4 linked regions of the Drosophila melanogaster genome follow. The protein of the gene in region 3 interacts with the protein of the main gene of each other region in a pairwise test. Each region holds a gene or a part of one and is shown on either strand. Other genes may lie near its edges.

Region 1 (4,252 bases), on a different chromosome or scaffold from region 3:
CTTGGTCGTGGCCGAGTCCTTTTTACTCGCCTGTCCTTTGGCTTCGACACTTTGTCTCTCTCTGTGTGTGTGTGTGTGTGTGTGCAAGTGTTGGTTGGTTGAGGAGTAGGAGGGTGGTGAAAGGTCCTTTGGCCAAGAAGGCGGCGAAGCAGGAAAAGGGTTTTTTCTGCTTCTGTATGCCGTGTTTCGTGCTTTGGCCCGCACGTCAGCTACTCATTTGTTTTTGTCTTCCGTTTGCTGCGTTTCCCGCAAAATGAAAATGGAAATTGGTTTTCTCTCGGTTACTTACTGTCCTTACCAGAAGCACCAACACCCCAGCCACCACACCATTCTCTGCCAGCAACAACAAACAGCGCGGCATTCATTTAAAATGTAAATAAAGTGACAAATTACCTGAATTAGTGACACAACATTCAGCGAGTTTACGTTGCTCGTTTCAAATGGTTTTCGCTCCGCACCTTCGCTTTTTTCTTTTTTTTCTTGCTTGTGAAGTATTTACTTTTGTTTTTATTTTCCAGCGCCCAATTTAGCTGTTGACTTTGGTTAGCTGACTTCTTGGGGTAATTAAATTATTGCCCTTAAAGAGCTAATCGTAACGGAAAGAAAACTGACTATATAACTGCACTACCGCCTCTTCACAACCACATTTCCAAAGGAATGTCCCAGTCATCTATTAAATTCAATTATTGCCCAAGCAAAATATTGAATCAACGAGGGTAAGCCATGTATATAAACTTCCCAATGGCGCCCGAACAGGCTTAAGACCTTCGCACAGCTGTCGTGTAAATATTTAATTTACGAAATTCCATAATAAAATTTTCCCTCAGTCCGACGTCGTTCTGTTCTTTTTGTTGCTCCTTGGAGGCAGCTGGGTTTTCATTTCGCATGCCAATTGTTTGGCAAGTGTCAAAATAATAACAAGCCAACCCCCACAAGCCCCGGATTTTTTGGGATGGGGATTCGGCATGCGAAGGCCAAGTGTCAAAATATTTCCGAAAATTTTTTATGTTAATTTTGAATTAATAAAATAAATATTAAATCAGTGCGGCAAGAAAACGGCGCCAGGCGCCAGGGGTGACAAATGACAAATGGCAGGGGCATTCGAGCAGACGACTATATTAGAGACCAAAACCACTAATTTATCCCCAGAGAGAGGGGAGATCCTGGCAGCTGTTGCCCTTCAACCAACCACCCACCCATTCATCCACCCGGTCGAGTCTACCGAATCTGGGCTCGATGAACCCACCACCGCCGAACTGGAGTTAGCTTTGATTGGAGCTTTGCTTCCTAACGGTCGTTGTTAATTTAAATTTCCAAATTTAAAGATCCCTGAGCCAATTTGGTTATTGTATTATTAAATTTAACACTCTCGGCTCGTTGATTTTTATGGGATCCGCGGCATTTTCATTCCTAATTGCTCCGGCAATTCTTACATTCCGGCATCCCTTCGGCTTCGCCGGAGGCACCAGGCTGCTTATAACCCAAACTTTGCATTTCACAATTGGGGGTATAATCCGCGCAATTTTATGTGGCAACTAGGTTACAGTACACGGCTTCTAGACAGGACAAAGCAATATGAATTTGTTACCAACTGTAATGCTTATGCTGTATCATTACCATTTAGCCATAAATCTTAAGCACATAAATAATGTATAATTCTCGACATATTTGGCATACTCCTTTGCTGAAAAGATTCCATATTCTGTTCCCCAACTTAACTTTACTTTAATAACATCTATAGTATGCCATGAAAAAGGACTCAAGTCGAACTTTCTACTTCAATAGGTATGTTGCTAGTGAACGATCAGTTGGAATTTTTATCTGGAGCTCTCTAGTCAGGCCAAAACAGCACTGAAAATCTCTGAATAAAAATTCACTATCCAAATTCCAAGTTAACACCTTAAGTTTTTCCGTTTCTGAATCCGTGAAGCCTAGGTGAGTTTTGAATAAAAAAAAAAATACGACGAAGGTGTGTTTCTATAAAGTAGCCTCTGCCCGAAGCAACAATATGTGCGGTTATGGATGCGGTCCCTATGGCTATGGACCTTCGGGTCCTTGCGGACCATGGTGCGGACCCTGGTGTAGTCCTTGTGCCCTCTCGCTAGGACCCTATTCCTGCTGTGGACCCAGTGGATGCGGACCAAGCGGCCCAGCGTGTTGGCCGTATGGCTTGTACACCTGCTAGGCTTCAGAAGGATATCAGAAACGTGTGAGCCATTCCCCAAGAAATTTAATACCAGGTGAGTACGTTACGCCGTTCGTGTGTGGGATGCTGGGCAAATTGAAATTTTCTTACGGCCCAAAACAATGTGCCGCGCGTTGGTAATAAAAATTTCACCGACTTTCGGTGGATGCGGGTGGCTGATGGGGGTGGGAGAAAGGGGAGCGGTTAGCGTGTTCGAGGGGCGTGGCAGTTCAATAAATCTTTTGCAAAAAGCCAGGCGGAGGCGGCGGCTGTGGCGTTCGATTGTAATCAAAACTCTAATTTGAATTCTTCAGCTGCATTTGCAAAAGGGTAAAGCCGATTTTATTTTACAGACCTGGCAAGCGTTTCCGTTTCCAAAAAGAACGCGAAAAAGCGAGGAGCTGTAAACGGGCTGCGCGGAAAGAGGGCCATGTGTTGGCTTTATTGCGAATTTTTCATTCCTGTTCCTTGTTTATTGGCACTGATTTTTGACCGCCTACTGTGCGAGCTTTGACTTTCGACATTCAGTCCCCATTGATTCTAGCCAACTGGAAAAGAAATTTCGTTCAGTAATATATCAACACATATGGCCCAACATATATCTATAAATCTATTCTATACAATAACCATATCCTTACAAGCACCATCTAATCAACATCCTTTTCTTTCAGCTCGGACAATGGCAATTACATTGGATAGCATAATAAAAATATGTTCCCGTTGTTTTCATTAAAGACCATAATAAAATGTGGGGAAAGGCAGATGGAAATCGCAGCCCCTAACAAATTTGTCCACCAATCCTTTCGCGAATCCGCTTAAGCCTTTTACATAAAATGTTGAAAAAGCTAGAACACATCTTGTGCCTTTGCACCTTTGTTCTTTCCACTGCCAGACGTGTCTTGGCAAATAGCTGGTGGCTAAAAGTATGTTTGCAGCCTGTTCTTCTCTTTACTATGGGGTTTAAATTGAATGTAATGCGTTGTCACGTATTTATTAAGCTTTGAACTAAAAGGAGTACGGATACTTTAGATTTATTTTTTAAGCTTGTATTAGCTTTTGCATATATTGAAATTTTAGTAAATATGATAAAGAATCGATCGGGCACAAATATCAAGGTGGGGTCAGGTAGTGCTATTCGTTGGTGATTTCGATTAGGAAGCCATCGTCAAGTTTTATGCTTGTGGCTGCACGCAACGCGTGTTCTCGGGCAGATCGCAAATGCCCTTCAGAGCGTTGAAGTATTTATCGCCGCAGCTCACCAACAGTGGCTTTCCATATCGGCAGATATAGTAGTCGGAGCAGCTCTTCAGGGAGGCCAACATGAAGCCATCTGGCTTGTTGCGGCACACGTATTTTGTATAGGTGGACATGGTTAGCTCTTGGGCTTTGGGAGCCGACAGTTCATCGATTTCCAATGCGGGACGAACGGCAGGGCGCACGGGTCTCGCTGGTCGCACTTTCACAGACGATGGCCTCGCCTTCGAAGATCCGGAGACTCCGCTTACGGGTCCACATTCTGTTGTCGTTGTTGATGATGCACAGCTTGTTGTGGTCTCTGGTACACAGGTTGTTGTGGTTGCTGGTGTACATGTCGTAGTTGTAATACCTGGTGTACACGTGGTTGTGGTTGTTGGTGCACAGGTTGTAGTGGTTGTTGGTGCACAGGTTGTTGTGGTTGTTGGTGCACAGGTTGTAGTGGTTGTTGGTGCACAGGTTGTTGTGGTTGTTGGTGCACAGGTTGTAGTGGTTGTTGGTGCACAGGTTGTTGTGGTTGTTGGTGCACAGGTTGTAGTGGTTGTTGGTGCACAGGTTGTTGTGGTTGTTGGTGCACAGGTTGTTGTGGTTGTTGGTGCACAGGTTGTAGTGGTTGTTGGTGCACAGGTTGTAGTGGTTGTTGGTGCACAGGTTGTTGTGGTTGTTGGTGCACAGGTTGTAGTGGTTGTTGGTGCACAGGTTGTTGTGGTTGTTGGTGCACAGGTTGTAGTGGTTGTTGGTGCACAGGTTGTTGTGGTTGTTGGTGCACAGGTTGTAGTGGTTGTTGGTGCACAGGTTGTTGTGGTTGTTGGT
Region 2 (5,903 bases), on a different chromosome or scaffold from region 3:
CTGTGTGTGCTGGCCATTAATTTAAAAAGCTTTGCTAATTTCGCGGGGAAATCTGGAAACGAACAACTGCTAATGAAGTTTTATGGGTTCGGGAATGCAGCTGCAGCAGGATTGATAATGTCGTTAGCATAAATTGAAAATGCTTTCAAGTTACGACCAAAGATTTGTTATGATTAAAGTATGGAGCACGCGGAGTGAGCAAGAATATCCACCAATGGATTTTTATTAAATGATAAATGGCGAGCTGCAGATAACCAGATTCCTCTGGTTGCTGAAATAAATATTTTTTTTTGAATTGAAACCTTCTTAGGATTAACTGAAGTTCAGACAGTTAGTTCCTAAAATTGAATTATTTCGGCTTAACTTTGACTCTTTCTAATCCCTCTTGAAGTAATCCACTTTGAATGCTAAGCCGATCTTCGTATAAATTCTATTGTCATATTGTGCTGCTCCTTTCATTCGAACTAAATCCATTCAAAAATTTCACCCTTGAATAGAACTCTTAAGATCTTTTGTTGGTCGGATTGCTACTTTTTCAGGCAATCTATTGTGTTATAATTTCAATGGGTCAATTCTTATTTATTGGAAGAGTTTATGCTAATAAGTGTAGAAGCACTAAGACTATGATTTATTAATTCAAATGCAATTGGATTATGCTAATTGCACACAAATCTTGGTACAAATTATTTATATATTTTTTTCTTCGACAACTTTTGGAACCCAGCCCAAAACTAAACATGTAAACTGATAATCACCTTTCCGCTGTCTGATTTCATTGATAGCATTAAAAATTCATATTCCCTAGACAACATCTAATTTCCCCATCAAAATTGATGAGTTCCCGTTCCAGAACAACAATAAATGAACTGGTCTATCAGGTGAATTATACACACGTGCCAAAACGAGGCGTGTCCATATAGCCATTTCAATTTAAAACCCGAATATGGCGATCCCTAACGAGCCATTGTTCTGCGGTTTTATGGTAAATCTAAATTCATCAAGTATTTTGTCACGATTTTAATTAATTTCGATTTCAATTTTCCTGCCACAAGGCAATTACCAGCAACATTTTCCCCTGCTGCTGGTGCAACCGAAAAATGATAGTTGGTGGCCCAAGATGGAGAGGAAAACCCACCCAAAGAGGTAAAGCGTAATAAACTTTTATGGTACTCCCTTTCTTATGCTAAAACTCTTTTTGGACACAAAACCAAATGGCCCATAAAGCAAGACAATGAATATCCAAAATAGATCTCCACTGAGGCGAAACAAAAGCCAATAACTTTATAGAACCGCAACCAAAAAATACAAAAAAAAAATAATAATAACTCAGACTGTGAGAGCGCGGGAGGCGTTCTACAAAAAAAAAGCTTAAAAATGAAGGAAAAAGTAAAGCATTTAAAAGAAATCAAGAGATGTAGATGACGATGATGATGATGGTCTGAGGTTGAGGCTGAATCCGAATCCGAATCGGTATCTGAACCCAACAGAAGCTTGCGGCAATTGCGTTTCCTCTTTGGCCACACGTTCTGGACAATTAAAGCCCCAGCCGAGCTCCGAATCTGAATCGAGCCAAGTTAAGACAGCGACCACGACCGAAAACCGAAAACAGAAAACCAAAAAAACCGGATTCCAAGCCGAGAAGGAGCGAAAAAGACGGCGAGAGCGACCACTGGCCACTGGCACTGGCTACAAGTGAACTGGTTTACAAAGAAAAGAAACAGAAATGAAAGAAACATGTGAAAAATCACGATCTATAAAGCCGATGCACTTAATACCCTAGGCAAAATAAGTAAATAATACTATAGATCAAACTAGAGTAGACTTGTTGAAAAAAAAACACTGGAATAAATAAGAAGCTTATAAACTATCAGCTTATTAAACTAAGTTTGCCTAAATTTCGTAAAATATATTTTTAAAACCTAACGCGATGCTTTGAAATTCTGTAAAATTAAAGTTTTTCAGAAATGTAACGTTATTAACACCGATTAATATTTTTAAATAATATTTTACAAATTGTGTACACCATTTTCAAACGAAGTACCCTTACCAAGAGCACCCATAAGAGACCCCCAGAATTCCAAGCGAAGGTTTTTCGAGTCCGGCTCGAACCGACCAACTCGAACTGAGCGCCACAGCAACAACAATGGGGCAAGCGGGTGGTTCAGGATGGTGGGGAAGTTTGCGGGGGGATGGGGGACGTACTCCACCGTGGACTGTGCGGCACCACACTGAGTTCAGTGGCAATGACAGTGGCACATGCAGTTGTAGTGGAAGCCGCTTGTCGGTCGACAGTCCGCCAACCGCCAACGTTGTTGCGCTCTCTTTCCTGTTTTTTCGCCCCGTCTCATTCTATTTGTGGAGCAGGTTTTGAGATATATCTTGGGTCTTTCTCTCTCTCTCCTTCTCTGTCTGCGTACTCGTTATATTTTTGTACTCGCTGCCTTTTTGGCCAACGCAAAAAATACCAAAATAAAAAAATAATAAACGTAATTAGCTAGCCCTACGCCACAAACAGAAAACAAAAAAAAAAACAACAAAAAATAAAACAAGTAAAAATAAGTGGTGTGGAATTTTTGTGTTCATCTGGGAAGGCAGGGCCTGTTCTCGGCGGAATCTTACCTGTGGGTTAAACAGAAGAAAGCCCCAGGCTCTTTGGGCTTTATCTTTGCGTCCTAAAGTATCCAAGTAGTTGTTTCAATATGATTTTGCTGGTTTTTTGTCAGTTTGTAAGCTTTGAAATGCTTGGCATTGTTTTTGGTTTTTAAAGTAGTAATTTATATCATTTAAGTGGCACTTGAATTGTATGTTGTTTTTTCTTGTTGTATTTGTTTGAAGACTTCTGTTAATACGATTCTGTGAATTTAAAAGTAAATAATTTTATTAAAATTTTCAAAATATTTGTCGGAAATTTTTTGTTATATTTTCAGGTTTGATTTTAATTTTAACAAGTATTTCACCGAATCATTCTCAAGTAAATGTATTTAAAAAAACACGCACACTAAGGGACAATTTTGAGATTCAAATCACGGCACGATCGCCCCAGGGGGTGGGGCTGAGGGGGCGGCAGGGGGGCGGTTACGGGAGCAGCAGCAGCATCAACGGCAGTCAGCTACCACAAACCACGTAGTTTTTTTCCTTCCAAAATCCACGTACAACTCGCGCACAAACACACGATGTATTTGTATCTCACAGATATGAAAACCGAACGAAGAAAAACCCGAACCGAAACCTCAACCTCAACGAACTGAAAACCGAACGAGAACGAGAGATACACGGCAGCTGAAATGTGTTTTTCTACATTTTGTTTGAAATAGGAGCTGAAGCCAGTGCAGCTACCAATTCGCTCCTCAAGTAGTCCCAAACTCTTCCCACACACAGAGTCAGTTGCAGTTGAAAAGCGCTTTTCTCGAGGCAACTGGCGATGCAACAAGTTCACTCACACACACACACACACTAGCGCTCTGGGCCCGCTCAATAAGATACATCGGCGGCGAAAGATACAGATAGATATAGAGCGAGAGGCACTCACAATGCAGTTCACTTTTCCAACAGCTATTACCAGCGATCCGCGCGCAGGTGCGTTGGCCACGATCAACTCTCGAAGACTGAGCCACGAACCCAAGAAACAGGGCCCGAATGGAAAAAGAGAGAATCGAGAGAATCGCGGGCTGAGAAATGCGTAGAAAGAGACAAGCGACGAGTAGCGAGCAGTGGCACTAAAACCAGCTTAGTGCACTGTGGAAAAAGTTTTAACAATTCTTAAATATCTGAAGAGTAAGGCTCTAATTTTCTGTAAATAACAACAGTATAAATCTATCTGCTTAAATATACTAGATAAATAATGGATGCATTTACATATTTTTCTGAATTAACTAGTAACTTATATTCAGTTTGAATATAGTACGACATTTCTTTCAGTGGAGGAGAGGAATTAAACCGAACTCAACCCAAACCCAACCGGCCGCCAGTCGCACGCTGCTAAATGGACGGATGGGCCCGTGGACGGACTTATATGGAGACTGGCACTGGCGGAGCGTGGAACGTGCATTCGTACGACGAGTTATTGTCAGTTAGAGCGCTACCTGTTTACCGACCGACTACCGACTACCACCGACTGCTTTTTTTTTTTTGGCCCAGTCGAGAGGGTAGGGTACAATTGGCCCGGGTGTTGCCAGATTGCCGTTGCTGCTGCTGCCCATGGATCGTTATGGTGGCTTCACCCGAAAAGGAGGAGGAGGGTGTAACTCTGGTAGTTCCCTGTTTATTGTTATGCCTTTTTAGTGGGGGTGTATTTTGTTCTTCGGCTTTTGTTGCGGTTTCATTTAGGGGAATGACTAATCAGAAAGCATTTTTAGGGAGGCAAGGTGATAAGGTTTCTTCGAAGAAGGGGTTGCCAAGTCGAAAGTTGGGGTGAAATAAAGTGCATTACTCACACGACTATATATCTATATTATGACAAGTTCCAATGTTCTACTGATAAGTAAATATTTATTTGGAATAATTAGTTGGTAGCTTTAGGGAAAAATATTTATACATATGTATTTAAATATACACTGATGATTAATCGGCAGCCGAGTTATACAATTCATTTATGGAAATAGGTCGTAAAACAATATAAGTCTAGAAACCATCTTATCGCCAGACTGACTTTTATTAATGGTAATTAGTCCTTATAAAAGAAGGCGAGCACGGGAACTTGGAAAAAAATAAAACATAGGTAAATGATTGATTCGAGCTAGGCTATGTAAATAGGTCTTATATTATTATAATAGACTGTAAAATTTCTATTCTAACAATCTGGCAACCTCTGCTCGCAATGCAGCATCAATGCGGTCAAGTGGTAAAAGAAAAGACGTTAACAAAAAGACCAAAAATCAGCTAGGGTCCCAAAAGTAGAGGGAGTTACGTTTCGGCCACGACGGTGATCATGGTCGTAATGATTCCGAGATGCAGAAAAGAAAAACCCGAAAAGTACCCAACAAAAGAGAGTCCGTAGCCATGTAATTAAGGTGCTGCACAGTGGAACTAAATTGTGGCTGCTGCCACTGCAAAAACAGTAAGTGGAAATGGAGATACAAAGCGGCAACAGGCAGAAGACCAGAAATAAGTGGTAGAAAAGAGAAGACGGAAAAACGGTAGCTGCCTCATAGGGCGAGCGAATTGTTATGCTAGTCGTCGTCGACTTCCCCCATCAACAACTGTTGCTCTTGCTGCACTCGGAAAATAATTTTCAGCATATATAAATAACAATAAGTAAATAAGAAATAAAATAAATAATTACCATAATTGGTCTCCCTTATAATTGGATTCCACAATACATAAAATTGAAATTGACTATTGTTTAATAATAATATCTAATATCTAACCCTTACCTTGCTCTTTTTGCTTAAAATAAAGATGTACAAATAAGATATATATGCTAATGCGAACCATAAGATCGTTGTGATTTTTCTGAGTGCCCGTCGGTTGAAGTGGCTTCCCTCCTTGCATATTTTGCATCGCTTTACGATTTTAAAATAAATTACTTGAAATTTGTGTAAAACATGTGGCCAACTCGGAGTTCAGCTGGTAGTTTGTAGCTAGAGGGCCAAAAGCAACAGGTTCATTGATCGCATTCGAAATGCTTCGTTGGCCCCAGCAGGTAGCTGGTGTGTTTGATACTTTTGGGCTGGGCCTGGGACCATATCCGAATCTGAATCGGGTTCCAATGGGAATCGGATCGTTGAGCCAAATTAATGATGTTTAGATGCATTTCAATGCCCCCGGGCTGTCAGCAAGAGGCACATTTGTCATTTGTTCTTGGTATATTTTTTATTTAATAATTAAAGCTCTTATTTAGTTTTCTTTTTTCCTTTTTCTGTGTTAGGTTTTTGCTGTCTCGTTTTCCACTCGATGAGTAACAA
Region 3 (5,562 bases):
ACATTACTAATGTATGGAGTGGTAGACAATTTGTTAAACCAATTAAGTACCGGAAATGTCATTCATTTCGATTTTGAGCCGAAGGATTCTAGTATAAAATAGTAGCTCTTAGTGATAAATAAGTATCCATTTACAATTTTACGAAATAAAATAAAATGCCAATTCACAAATGAGCTGGATTAATGTATATCACAAACATTGCATAAACACCGACTCGCATTACTCTAAAGTAGGCTCGAATTTCTAGATAAGGCTTGAAAAACGATAATTCGGTTGAGTGTAAAGAATCTTGTATCTATAATATTGTTCAGTAGCTGGGGTATAATAAATGATACCATAGCAACGTTGATATTATATTCCAGATTACGATTGGGCATTACTTCTCAAACTTTGCTAATAGCTTTGATATCCCAAAGTTTGATAAACATTGTGCATTAATTGGAGGAAAACGTTAGCTAGCCTAGTGCTCAACTCACCATCATCTGGGCGTGGAGCTGCAGGTTTGTCTGTCCGGACATCCATCCGCTGCTGGCCAAAGCCTGGACGGTGGCCTGCGATAACATCCTGTTGTTGCCCTGCGACTGCTGGAGCATCGACGCCGCTGCCGCCGCCTGGGAATTGAAGGCCGCTACCGCGGCTGCCCCAAAACTATTTGCCGCATTCGCCACACCATTGGCGCCGGCGGCAGCTGCTGCTGCGGCGGCGCGTTGCTTCATCAGATGCTGTTGATGCGCCGTCGCCGCTGCTGCGGCGGCAGAGGCAGCGTGCTGTTGCTGAGATTTTGAGGTCACCTGTTGGCCACCAGCGGTGTTCGCGGAGGATGATGCGGCTGATGTGTTCTGGCCCATGTTGCCGCCGCTGGAGGAGGAAGGGCCGGACGATCCGGAAACGGAGGTGGTCACTTTTGGAGGCGGCGCCGAGGGTTGACGGGTCCAATTGACCGAGTTGTTGACATTGGCCCGATTGCCAATGAGCAGATTGGAGTCAACCACCTTGCTGGGCCAGTAGTCCTCGAATTCGGTGCCATTTGGGAAGTAGCTTTTGATGTCCGTCAGCGAAATCACGGCCACGTTCTCGCTGGAGAAGAGCTCATTGCGTATGCCCTGCACCTTGCAGCAGAACTTTAGATAAGCCAGGTCCCAGCCATTGAGCAGCTCCGCTTTGGTCTTTAGATTCTCGGTCTCGCCCTCAAAATAAAAGAGCGGCACAACCTGCTGATTGTTGCGCACAGTGTAGGGCACCACGGACTCCTTGTTGATGCGAATAAAGCCGCACTTCTCCGACGGCGTCTTGCTGCCGGAGACTAGTTTCCTATAGCAAATATCCAGGAACTGATAGAACTTGGATGCGTCACTGAGACGCACCACCAAATCCTTTTGGTTGAAGATGTCGCGACCGAACTCGCCGTCACAATGCTTATGATTAATCTCGATGAAGAGACGGGCCTCCGCATCGGTGATGTAGTAGCTGCGCACGCAGGTGCAGCTGGAGTAGATATCCGGATGCAGGCAGTTAAGGTATTTGCCCAGCAGTTTCAGTTCGATCATGCGCACGGAGCAGTACTTCTCCGATTGGCGATAGATGTACGGTATGGATACCTTGCCGAACTGAGCCCAGCCGAAGTGGCCTTGAATGGACTCCTCGTCGCAGGGTCCCGTGGAGGACTTCTTGTCCGAGCCGGAGTCGCTGACGGCTCCATTCGAGCGGCCATTGGAGGCCAAGGCGGGCACCACCTGCATGGTGCCGTTGGGTAGTTTCTGATGACGAGATAGGTAGTTCATGATATTGGTCTGGCCATTGCCATTTGTGATCGGCGGCTGCATGTTGCCACCGGCCGAGGATGCCGCAATGGCGCCCCCATTCGAGTGCTGCATGGCCGCTTGACGGGATGCCTGCTGGGCGGCCTGTTGCTTCTGCTGCTCCTTCATTTTGGCAGCTAGTTCGCGGATCTCGGCGTCATCGGGACGCTCCTGCTTGACGGGCGGTCCCAGGGGACCGCCCAAACTGTTGCCGTGGAGCGGTAGGCTCTGGCCATTGGCATCGATGACGCTAGTGATCTGCACATCCTCGCTGGCCATCGCTCCTCCGCACACTCTCGCTCTTTTGCTCTAGAATGCTGTCTTGCTCGCGCTCTATGTAATCTTGCGTTATCGTACTTTTCCAGACTTTTCGATATCCACACTTTTGGTTTGGTTTTATATTAGGAGCTGTATTGAAAAATTTACTTGTTAGGATGACAGTTCGATTGGTACTGCCAGCATTTCAATTTGATATGTTATTTGTGTATGTATTTATATATATGCTCATATATGTCAATATATATTTAACAAAGACTGCATTATGTCTTACTGATTTTTTTAATTATTCACACATCAAAATGAAATTCTTTTGGCAAGTGTATTTGTTATTTAAACAGAACTATAAAAGAAATAAACAGCCGGCTTGTTCGATCCTTCTCTTTCTGGCACACAAACGGTCACACTGACCGGCTGTCTCACACACACACACACACACACACACACGTGATAATTTTTTTAGATGTTTTCCTTTGCAAGTGTGCGTGTGTTAATGCGCGCACTTATTTTTGTTGTTTTTCGAGCTCATTTCAACATTTTGCACACAATGCTATTGCTGTTGTTGTTTTTGGCATATAAATTATACATTATGTATGCATGTGGTACACTTACACAAACAAACGCTAACTGCATTTTGGCAGTGTGGCAAAAAAAAAAACAAAACTATTTAATGCATTTGTTGTTATATTTAGTTGCTGCTTTCTCTCTCCTCGTTTGCTTTTGGTTTATTAAATTCCTTTTTGTTGTTTTTGCGACGACGCTCGTGGTGAAAAAAAAAAACAATTTGTTTGGTTCTCTTTTCTTTTGATATTCGCACTTTTTCGCTAGTTTGCTTTAGCGCTTGTTCCGCATTCGACGCCGACGCACGTCCGCCCGTCTTCGCAATACACAAACGAGTGTGATCGTTGTTACGAAAATTATTTCAACGAAGTCAACTGAAAAATGTGTACGGCACACACACAAACCTACAGCCGTGCGCTCACCCACACTGGCGCAGCGCGCCGGCAGCGACGCCTACTGCGGCAGCGGATGCAGAGCGCAAAAGAAAAACGGAAAACACGAAAGAGAAAAAAACAAACACCCGTAGCGCAGTCGGCGTCGCTGCAACGCTGCCACGAACATTTTGCCGAATTGTTGTTGCTGCTGTCCGTCTCCCTTTTGCGCCCCCACCCCCCTTCTTATGCATTTTCCTACTCTGCCATCGCTCTCTCTCACCCTATTCGGCTAGCCCCCTCCTCGACGAACGCCTGCTCTCTCTCTCTCCTTCCGCTCATCGACTAGCTCTAAGCTGCGACGCCGACGTCAACGTAGCTGCAGAGTTACAACCCACAGTGGTTAAGACATAAGCAACTTATGGAAATTAATTAAGGGATCTTAGCCAATTCAGTATGAAAGTAAAATTTTATAAAATAATACGAATTTATGGGATTACAAGTTTACCATTTGTTGAATATTTAACCTCACAATTAAGTTCTTTAAATACTCTACACATATGTATCTCGAATTTGAACTTTTTATTGTTAAACTTTCTCTCAAATTCGCATTATTTTTTAGTAACACCATCTGGGAATCAAGCAGATCAAAAAAGGCAAGCTTCTTTGTGGCTTACTCATATAAATGGTGTAAAAAATAATGCAAACTAGCTAAATTTACTTTAAAATTAGTGTTTCCTTGTTACATGTTTACTCTTTACATACAGTTGTACAAATTTATTTGTATATATTATTTCTCTATAAGAATATAATAATGCCATTTTCCCCTGGCATTTGAACCACGGTACAAGGAAAGCTTAAGCTATGCTATATACAAGACCCACACACACTGACACATGTTCACAGAGAGCTGGCTGGGTCACAGTATTGGTATTGGTTTTGGTATTGGTGGTGTGATGATGATGTTGTTGCTTTTGTGCGGGAGTGGGTGGGTGGGTGCTCTTTGTGGGCGAAGGCGTGGCGGGGCGGCTCTATTTTTGGCAAGCACCAAAAGCAAAAGCAAAGGCCCCTGCTTAGCATTCGATGGCCACCTCTCCTCGCTCTAGCCCTCTCCCTTTCCCACATGCCATCACTCTCCCCGTCCCTTTCGCACCGTCGAATGCAAGAAGTTTTCGGTATTCGCGCGCTCTGCGGCTTTCAAGACAGGCCCCGTTCCAGAAGGCAGAGAAAACCGGGAACGACCGAGCACGAACACGAACAAACGAATACACGAGTTCACGAACGGGCGCAGCTCCAAAAGGTCGCCCCGACTCTAAACATTTACCAAAAAAAAAAATTTAATTAGCCAGGTCCAAGAGTCCAAGTCAAATTCCATTGTGCCGCCATCATACGGGGCTAAAAAGTTAACTGCCAGTTAATAACGAGTCCCGCGAAGTACAGTCAGATCAAAACAGGTGTTATTTGGTCCCGAAAACTAAACGTACAGTTGCGCCAAAACACATTGTGATATGTATTTTACTTAATGCAATGTCCACTTCAATTTATTTAGAACCAACTGTAGCCTATTAAAGGTTCTACTTGTTTTCATTCAATCATATGCTTATGTGTGTAATAGGATTACACAATATAAACCGAAACGCAATTTATATATGAATGTACGTAAGTACACCAATCAGTTTTTAGGGTATTCAAAAGCCGAGTGTCAATGGAAGGCACTGCAGTTTATTGGTATCTCTCGGCTTTGGTTTCAGGTGTCTCCCGGGCTTTTTAGTTTGTACGGTACGAGACTCTCCAGTGCGTGGCTTTCTTTAATTCTTTCGTTCTACGGGCTCCCTGTTTCGTGGCATCTCTCTTGATTTTGAGTGGGGGTTTTGATTTTTGGTGTTTTGCTTTGCTAATTAGTCAGCTGTGCGTGAGTGTGTTTGGGTATTTCTTGTACTTTGTGTGGAAGATGTTTTTTGTTTTTTTTTTCTCTACGGCCATGTAAACCCCCTTCTAATAGTGCGGTATTCGTATTTAGTCATATGCTTAACTATGTACATAGATATATATGTATATACATATACATACATAAATCTATATGTACGAGGCTATGTGCAACGGTTAAAGTGTGCGAAATGTGCATCTGTAGTGGTGGGCATACGCATTCGACATCGTCAGTCGCCATCGATGCGAACGAAGAGTGTACGAGAGTGAGAGAGAGAGGGTGTAAGTGCGAGGGGTTGGGTAAGGGGAGAAAGAGGGAGACAGCGTGAGAAGCGAGCGTTACGAAAGGCCCCGTTTCGTGCGCGCTTTGCTATGTAAACACGACTAAACATGTGCCTGCATGTGTGCGTCTGTCTGCATGTATGAATCTAGGCGTACACATGTATGTATGTTTGCATGCGTGGATGTAGACCGTTCGTTTAACCATCAATGGGAAATATTGGATTGGGCGTTGGGTGGCTCAAAACGGGGGATTGGGGCGGTAGGCGGATGGTCGGCTCTGCCGTTTGCTATGATTTTGGCAAGCTTCACGATTGCGCAGGGAACAGAAAACCGATATTTGCTGCACA
Region 4 (5,865 bases), on a different chromosome or scaffold from region 3:
CTGATGTTCGATGCTGGATGATGCTGGCGGCCCACTCCCCGAAGACTTTTTACGGCTTCCACGAATTCGGACGGCGTCCAGGCCCGGCCAGAACCGATCCGATCCAAGACCAAAACCAAAAACCAGTGAAAATCTAGTAAGGAAAATACATAAAACTTAATTATTTTATAAAACTACGCGGCCGAAGGTTTTAATGTGCAGTGGTTTATGTGCTCAATGGCCATGTCCAGTGACCAGTGACCAGTTACCACTGGCCATTGCCCAGCGCCCAGTGCCAGGGAGTATCTCAAATTAGCTGCTTATCAGGCACATTCCGAGCGCAGCGTGAACTGCTGGCCCATTATCGAGAAGGTCCCCCCCCCCCCCTCCATCTAGGCCAGGTCGCTATAGTCGTACTCCTAAGTATAGAGTTAGCCAGGCAGGGGTAACAATTAAATGAATTTTGGCCAATTGCTCATTTCGTTAAATATGCAACCGGCCCAAAAGAGATATGCAAATGGGCTTTCAGCACCACCAACTTGCGGCCGGTGGTTTCCGCTTCCTGTTTTTATTTTTTTTTTTTTTTTCTACTTAATGCTTTTTGGGCCAGGATTTGAGCCTGTCGCCAGCCTGTCAGAGGCATGAAAACGCGCTGAAGAACCGTATAAATCAAAAACTGTAACTGCCACTGCCGGCCGACGGTCCACACTTTGTCATGGCCATGTTATTATGGAATTCACATTTGATTTAATTGCCGAGCCCGGGAGTCCTTCGTCCAGCTCCCTTGCCGCTTTTCAGCTCGTAAAACCACCGAAATGCGCGTGTTAAGCCACCGAACCACCGCACGCACCACACACTCCCCCTTTGAAATAAAAAAAAAAAACGGAAAAAACACCAAACAGAACGAGAAAAAAAGAACTCGAAATTAAGTTGTTCATTAGGTTTTTTTTGGACCTTCTCAGTCTCCGTCTCAGTTTTTCGGTTACCACTCACCGCGAACGGGAAACTCGTGCTGGCCGTTAAGGCCATAAAGTTAGCAGTTGGCCCGGGGCCACGATTTGGCCGACAGTGCGATAAGGATTGCAAATCCACTCGGTTTTGTAGAAAGTGAAATAGACATTCCGGCCAAATCCAATTTGGCCGCAATGAAAGGGTTAATTTCCCCTCTGGCGTGCTGCTCGCCCATTTCTCTGGAATTTTTCGTGGCCCAATCGAGGCCAGTGAGCAGTCAAAACTAAATAGTTCCGGACATAGTAGCAACCCCTAGAAATATGCGACTATTCCACTTGCTTTGCCACTTCTACACGTGTTAATTATCAATTATTGGGTACGATCCATCCTTAGAATGCTGAAAAATGTATCTTGCAGAACACAAAAACCTAAATTTGAGGTATTACTTTTGGAAATATATCTAATCTAACTAACAAGCAGTGATCCAAAGTATCTGGTGAGACCAAAAAATCCCCTCTAATTTTAAGAGACCTTATAAAATGTGAACGCGTAGCAAAGGTTTTTTCCAGATCCACAACGGCTACAATTTTAAATGTTGAATGCGATCTTGAGGCCAAATTGCGAGTTATATATATAGGGATGTTGCTAATCTGGGTTCTCGAGAACCGCTTTCTGGTTTTCAGGGGGGATAATATACGAGTATAATTAGTATCTTCCCCAAGTGCTACCGATTTCTCCACAATCCTCAACTCGTAAGTCTCAATTAGCTCCGTGCACATGTCAAGCGGAACAGACATAAAAACCGATAGAAATTAGTTAAACATACAATAATTTAAATTCGTGCGATTACCGAAAGTGGAACCGACAGGTTGGCCGAGCTTCTGTTTCGGAACCCTCTCCCTTGATTTTATTTTTTATCATTTGCTGCCCCCCCCGCAGATCAATGGATCGATCGAAGCCAGAGCCAAGCGGGGCATTAACAGCCGCTAATTAAAATAAAAAAATTATAATAAAACGTACGCTTCACCATTTGAATATGATTAGCTTGCTCTTTCTGGACCACGCTTAAGTAAGTTGTCCGACGGCTCGTTGCCTCGTTGCCGATGGCCAAAAGCCCCGAAAGCCGGTGGCTTGGGCTTTGGCTTAGAAAGCACACAAGTCAATGGGCCATAATGGCAGCCAGAAACGACGGCATGACAAAGAATTAATTAGCATACGATTTTTGACTTTTGTCGCTCGCCGTGGTCGTGGGAAAACTAAAGTCTGGCCAAAAAGGCAGTCATCGATCGTTGGCAGTCTGGCCAACGATCGATTGGTCCGCTTTAAATGAGTTATCTCGGTGCGGCGGAAGTTCAATTGGCCGTAGTTTTGCATTGCAAATTCGATTCAGGCCATCCGGTGGCATCTTCCACTTCATTCACAACATGAATATTATTCGAATATTATTGGAATCGAATCTTGGCCGAAACTAACGCCGCCGGTTGAATGAAGATCGCCCCGTTTGGTTCCGTTCAGACTCGATCCGTTAGATCAGATCGTCGTTCATTAAGAAATAAGCCGATCGATGGCAGGGCGTTGGGTCTGGGGGGACGAGGTCGGACTTGAGACCGATGTGTCGAACTCGATAAGCAAATATCGTTATTAAAGTCTTTCAAAAACGCCGCAACCTGATCGGGAGCGACTCGATTTTTAATGATTTAGTTGTTGAGAAAGCAAATTATGCGCAAACAAATTGATTACGATCGTTTATGGTGGTCATTATGGGCAGGTCGATGGATGCGACCAGATCTTAATTAAGACGCCGATAAGTCATCGTCGTTAGCTTTTGTCAAGTGTTGGCATAATATTACGGATTAGAATGTGTCTGCACTCAAAATGCAATGTGTGCACTTTTCACCAAGTTCAATTAAGCTTATCTGGTCTCGAGTAGAAAACGAGATAGCACATCTGGCGTAAAATCCAAATCAACAAAATATACAATCTAAAAACTTGTCAGTGAACTAATAAAGTTGTCATCTAATTTCATTTAATGAAGCAGATTCAAATAAAAGCTCAAATTTATTTTCAGATCCAAGCAAATGTATTCTAACTAATTTATGCCAATAATAATGACAATTCGTTATAAACGATCTATGGAATATTATAACAGATACTTGAATCTGCTAGTTTTTTATCTTTTTATGTTCTATTTTTTATAATCTAGATAGCAAATGAACACTTAAACTTTACCAATTCAACATAACTTGGTGAAGCTCAATTTAAAAACGTTGTGCAAGCATAAAAGCTTGACCAAAAACGGATAATCTTCCATGAATAGTATCTTTCCTAGATGGTTATACTTTTGAAATATATAATTCAAAAGATGTGCTCACCTTAAACTTAGAGCACTGAATTCGCCGGCTATCCAATAACTTTGCCGCAACTTGGTTCGAATCCTTTGATCACTTGAGCACAACACTTTCCGCTCGAGTTTTGCATGCACCGTGTGGCTTATTCCGCGGATAATGGCCGATTACTCAGTTCGGAGGCGCGACGGCTAATGGCTTCTGTATGATTCTTATTTGGGAGTTCGGAACGCGACGCACCTTGTCACTCGACCGTCAAAAATTCGACTAACTGCACGCGAATCGCGGGACCGGCGCATCGATTCGATCAATTTTTGTGGCAGTGGCAGTGGCGGTAGCAGTGGAAATTGAGAGTTGGCTTCGTGCCTCGCCCGCGGTCCATCAGCCGACAATTTCTACTGAAGCGCCGCCAAGCAGAGCGGCCCAAAACGCCACCGAAAAGCCGCCGCTCACTAACACACTCGTAATACGCGGCCCGCACACACTGACACAAGCGTTCACGGACTCACGGACGAACCGTTTTTCTGGTGTAACCGGTTTTTCACGGCTGCGACGTCCGCGTCGGTTTCAGCCCCATTTGGCCCACCGCCAGCCAATGAGAGCCAATCAGAGAGCTGGCCCGGTGCGCATGCGTCGCACGCTGCGCCGACGGTGAGCTGCCATTGGCCAGATTCGGCAGCAGGGGTGGGGGCCAGGTGACACGTCCTCCGGGAGCGAAATCGACACGGGCACAGTGGGTCAAGTGTGAAGCTAGAGGCTAGTGGGCTAGGTCGATTTCAACAGCATAGAAAACCGCATTGAAATTAGGGGTAATTACGTAAAGCCACTATATTCAGAGAGTGACTAATACGCAGTTACCTTTGTAGATAAACATTGCTAATCTGGTTAGTTGATTAGTTGGTTAGTAGTAAAAATTGTGATGATACTCAAGTGCAGCTAACTAAACTATCTTTGTGATTTAAGAGTTCAAAACTTTTTAGGATTACATTGTAATATATTTGGGAAGAAAGGAAACCTTATAGAAGCATGATACCATGACCTTTTACATTAAAGCTACTTTGAAATGTTAAGAATGAGCCACCTGATTTGAAACTAATAGTTTAGTGTCAAAATTGTTTTTCTAACTTGGTACACAAACTTAATGTTATGAGCAAAAACCGAGCAAGTTCAGTACAATCCAGCTTGCAACTTTTGCTCCACTGTGCGATTGCATGACGTCCGTGCAGCCCGCCTTCGCTCTGTGAACGCTCTGGGGGTAGTAGAATTTGGTGTGGATGGTCGGCGAGTTCCGGCCAGAGAGCGTTGCGGCAGAGCGTAGCCTTATCCGTGGCCGTTTCCGCAGCCGATGCGTTGCCGTTGCAGCCGCGTTCCGGCCAATCGGCGGAGGCAACGCAGCACGCAAACGCTCTCACTCCCGCCCCCCGCCCACGTCCTGCATCGTGTGGTTCATAGAAACTGATAGTGTATGTATCTCGCCCACTCCAAGGACCCCATCCACATCCACATCCGCATTGTGACACTGCATAGCCGTTACCCTGGCGAAACAGCCACAGCTACGGCCACAGCTACGGCTCGTCCTTGCCCACCCGCTGGAAACTCCCGGGGGAGAGGAGGAGGAGGAGGAGTAGGAGGAGCGGCAGGAGGCGGAGGTCGTTGGGTGGGTGTCGGCGTTAAGTAACGCTCGGTGGTGCCGCAGGCGTTAATTGAATTCGACAATTGTCGCTCGGCATTCACAATTGGAAATGGATTTTCACTGCGACGGCGACTGGTGCTGAAAGATAAAGCTGTCACATTGTTTGTGATTGTTCCAAGGGAGGAGTCCGGATTATTGATCCATTCGAGGTACCGAACATGATGAATGGAAATTAGTTGCCATGACTAGGAAATCAATGGTCCCTAGCAGGGGGAACTCCTGATCCACCAAGACTGGCTAAAGCCTAACCCGTTTTTTGGAGCCGCGTGGCGTATGCAAATCCACTTGCTACCAAAAACCACAAAAACCTGTGCGAAAACATGCAAAATTCTTAGGCCCACTCAGCGCGATGGCTTTCCCATGGCAGGAGGATGGCAAGAGCTTGGCAATAGCTTCTGCTGGCCAGAGATAAAACTGTCACAAAGGCCGGGTTGCCGGTAACCATTTGCCATTTACCAGCCATCCGAGCTATCCGAGCAGCTGCCTCTGACTTTTCCCAGGCAACCAAGCGCGGCGTAATAAGATCAAGCGAGTCAACCGTGCGTGGTGGCATCAACACACACCTCTCTGTCTCTTTTGGCACAGAGTCCTTTGGTCCTTCAGTCCACTGGCCCACCCAACTGGCCACGCCCAACGCCCAGTATGCTTGTTCATGGGCCACCCCCTCCGCGGGTCCTTCAACGTGTGTCTTGCCCTATCTGACAAGGCGATTATGCGACCCGGAGCCTTTCAAGTGGCAGCAATTACCCAAACTCCGGGTCGGCGCGCCCAAAAAGCCAACTACGCCCCAATTAAGGCGCACACACACAAATCTGTGTGGGAAGTGCGTTTAGCTGGGCTGTAAAAAACTGTTAAAGGATACAACTCGAAGAGAAAGTACCCTATAATTCAAATAGA

What was found.
Region 1: the proteins of CG43736 (region 3) and CG31639 interact in a two-hybrid assay, tested with the Drosophila melanogaster proteins (one large-scale study listed by BioGRID).
Region 2: the proteins of CG43736 (region 3) and bowl interact in a two-hybrid assay, tested with the Drosophila melanogaster proteins (one large-scale study listed by BioGRID).
Region 4: the proteins of CG43736 (region 3) and Poxn interact in a two-hybrid assay, tested with the Drosophila melanogaster proteins (one large-scale study listed by BioGRID).

The regions. Positions count from the first base shown.
Region 1 is NT_033779.5:6,152,632-6,156,883, reverse strand, and holds CG31639 (uncharacterized protein), read left to right. Parts: upstream 1-1,742; 5' UTR 1,743-1,935; intron 1,936-1,988; 5' UTR 1,989-2,008; coding exon 2,009-2,185; 3' UTR 2,186-2,240; intron 2,241-2,856; 3' UTR 2,857-3,044; downstream 3,045-4,252. Other genes in the region: Muc26B (mucin 26B), read right to left, coding at 3,358-4,252.
Region 2 is NT_033779.5:3,769,411-3,775,313, reverse strand, and holds the start of bowl (brother of odd with entrails limited), read right to left. Parts: upstream 3,615-5,903; 5' UTR 3,441-3,614; intron 3,395-3,440; exon of another isoform or gene 3,299-3,394; intron 3,289-3,298; exon of another isoform or gene 2,998-3,288; intron 2,854-2,997; 5' UTR 2,620-2,853; intron 1-2,619. UniProt on the Drosophila melanogaster protein: Putative transcription factor. Required for leg joint formation, acting downstream of Notch to pattern the leg tarsal segments. Functions in the terminal pathway during embryogenesis, acting downstream of tll in the posterior of the embryo.
Region 3 is NC_004354.4:6,865,906-6,871,467, reverse strand, and holds the start of CG43736 (uncharacterized protein), read right to left. Parts: upstream 3,242-5,562; 5' UTR 2,688-3,241; intron 2,208-2,687; 5' UTR 2,079-2,207; coding exon 477-2,078; intron 1-476.
Region 4 is NT_033778.4:15,831,381-15,837,245, forward strand, and holds the start of Poxn (Pox neuro), read right to left. Parts: upstream 3,676-5,865; 5' UTR 3,303-3,675; intron 134-3,302; 5' UTR 1-133. UniProt on the Drosophila melanogaster protein: Transcriptional regulator that specifies poly-innervated organs (chemosensory bristle). Also controls the number of neurons.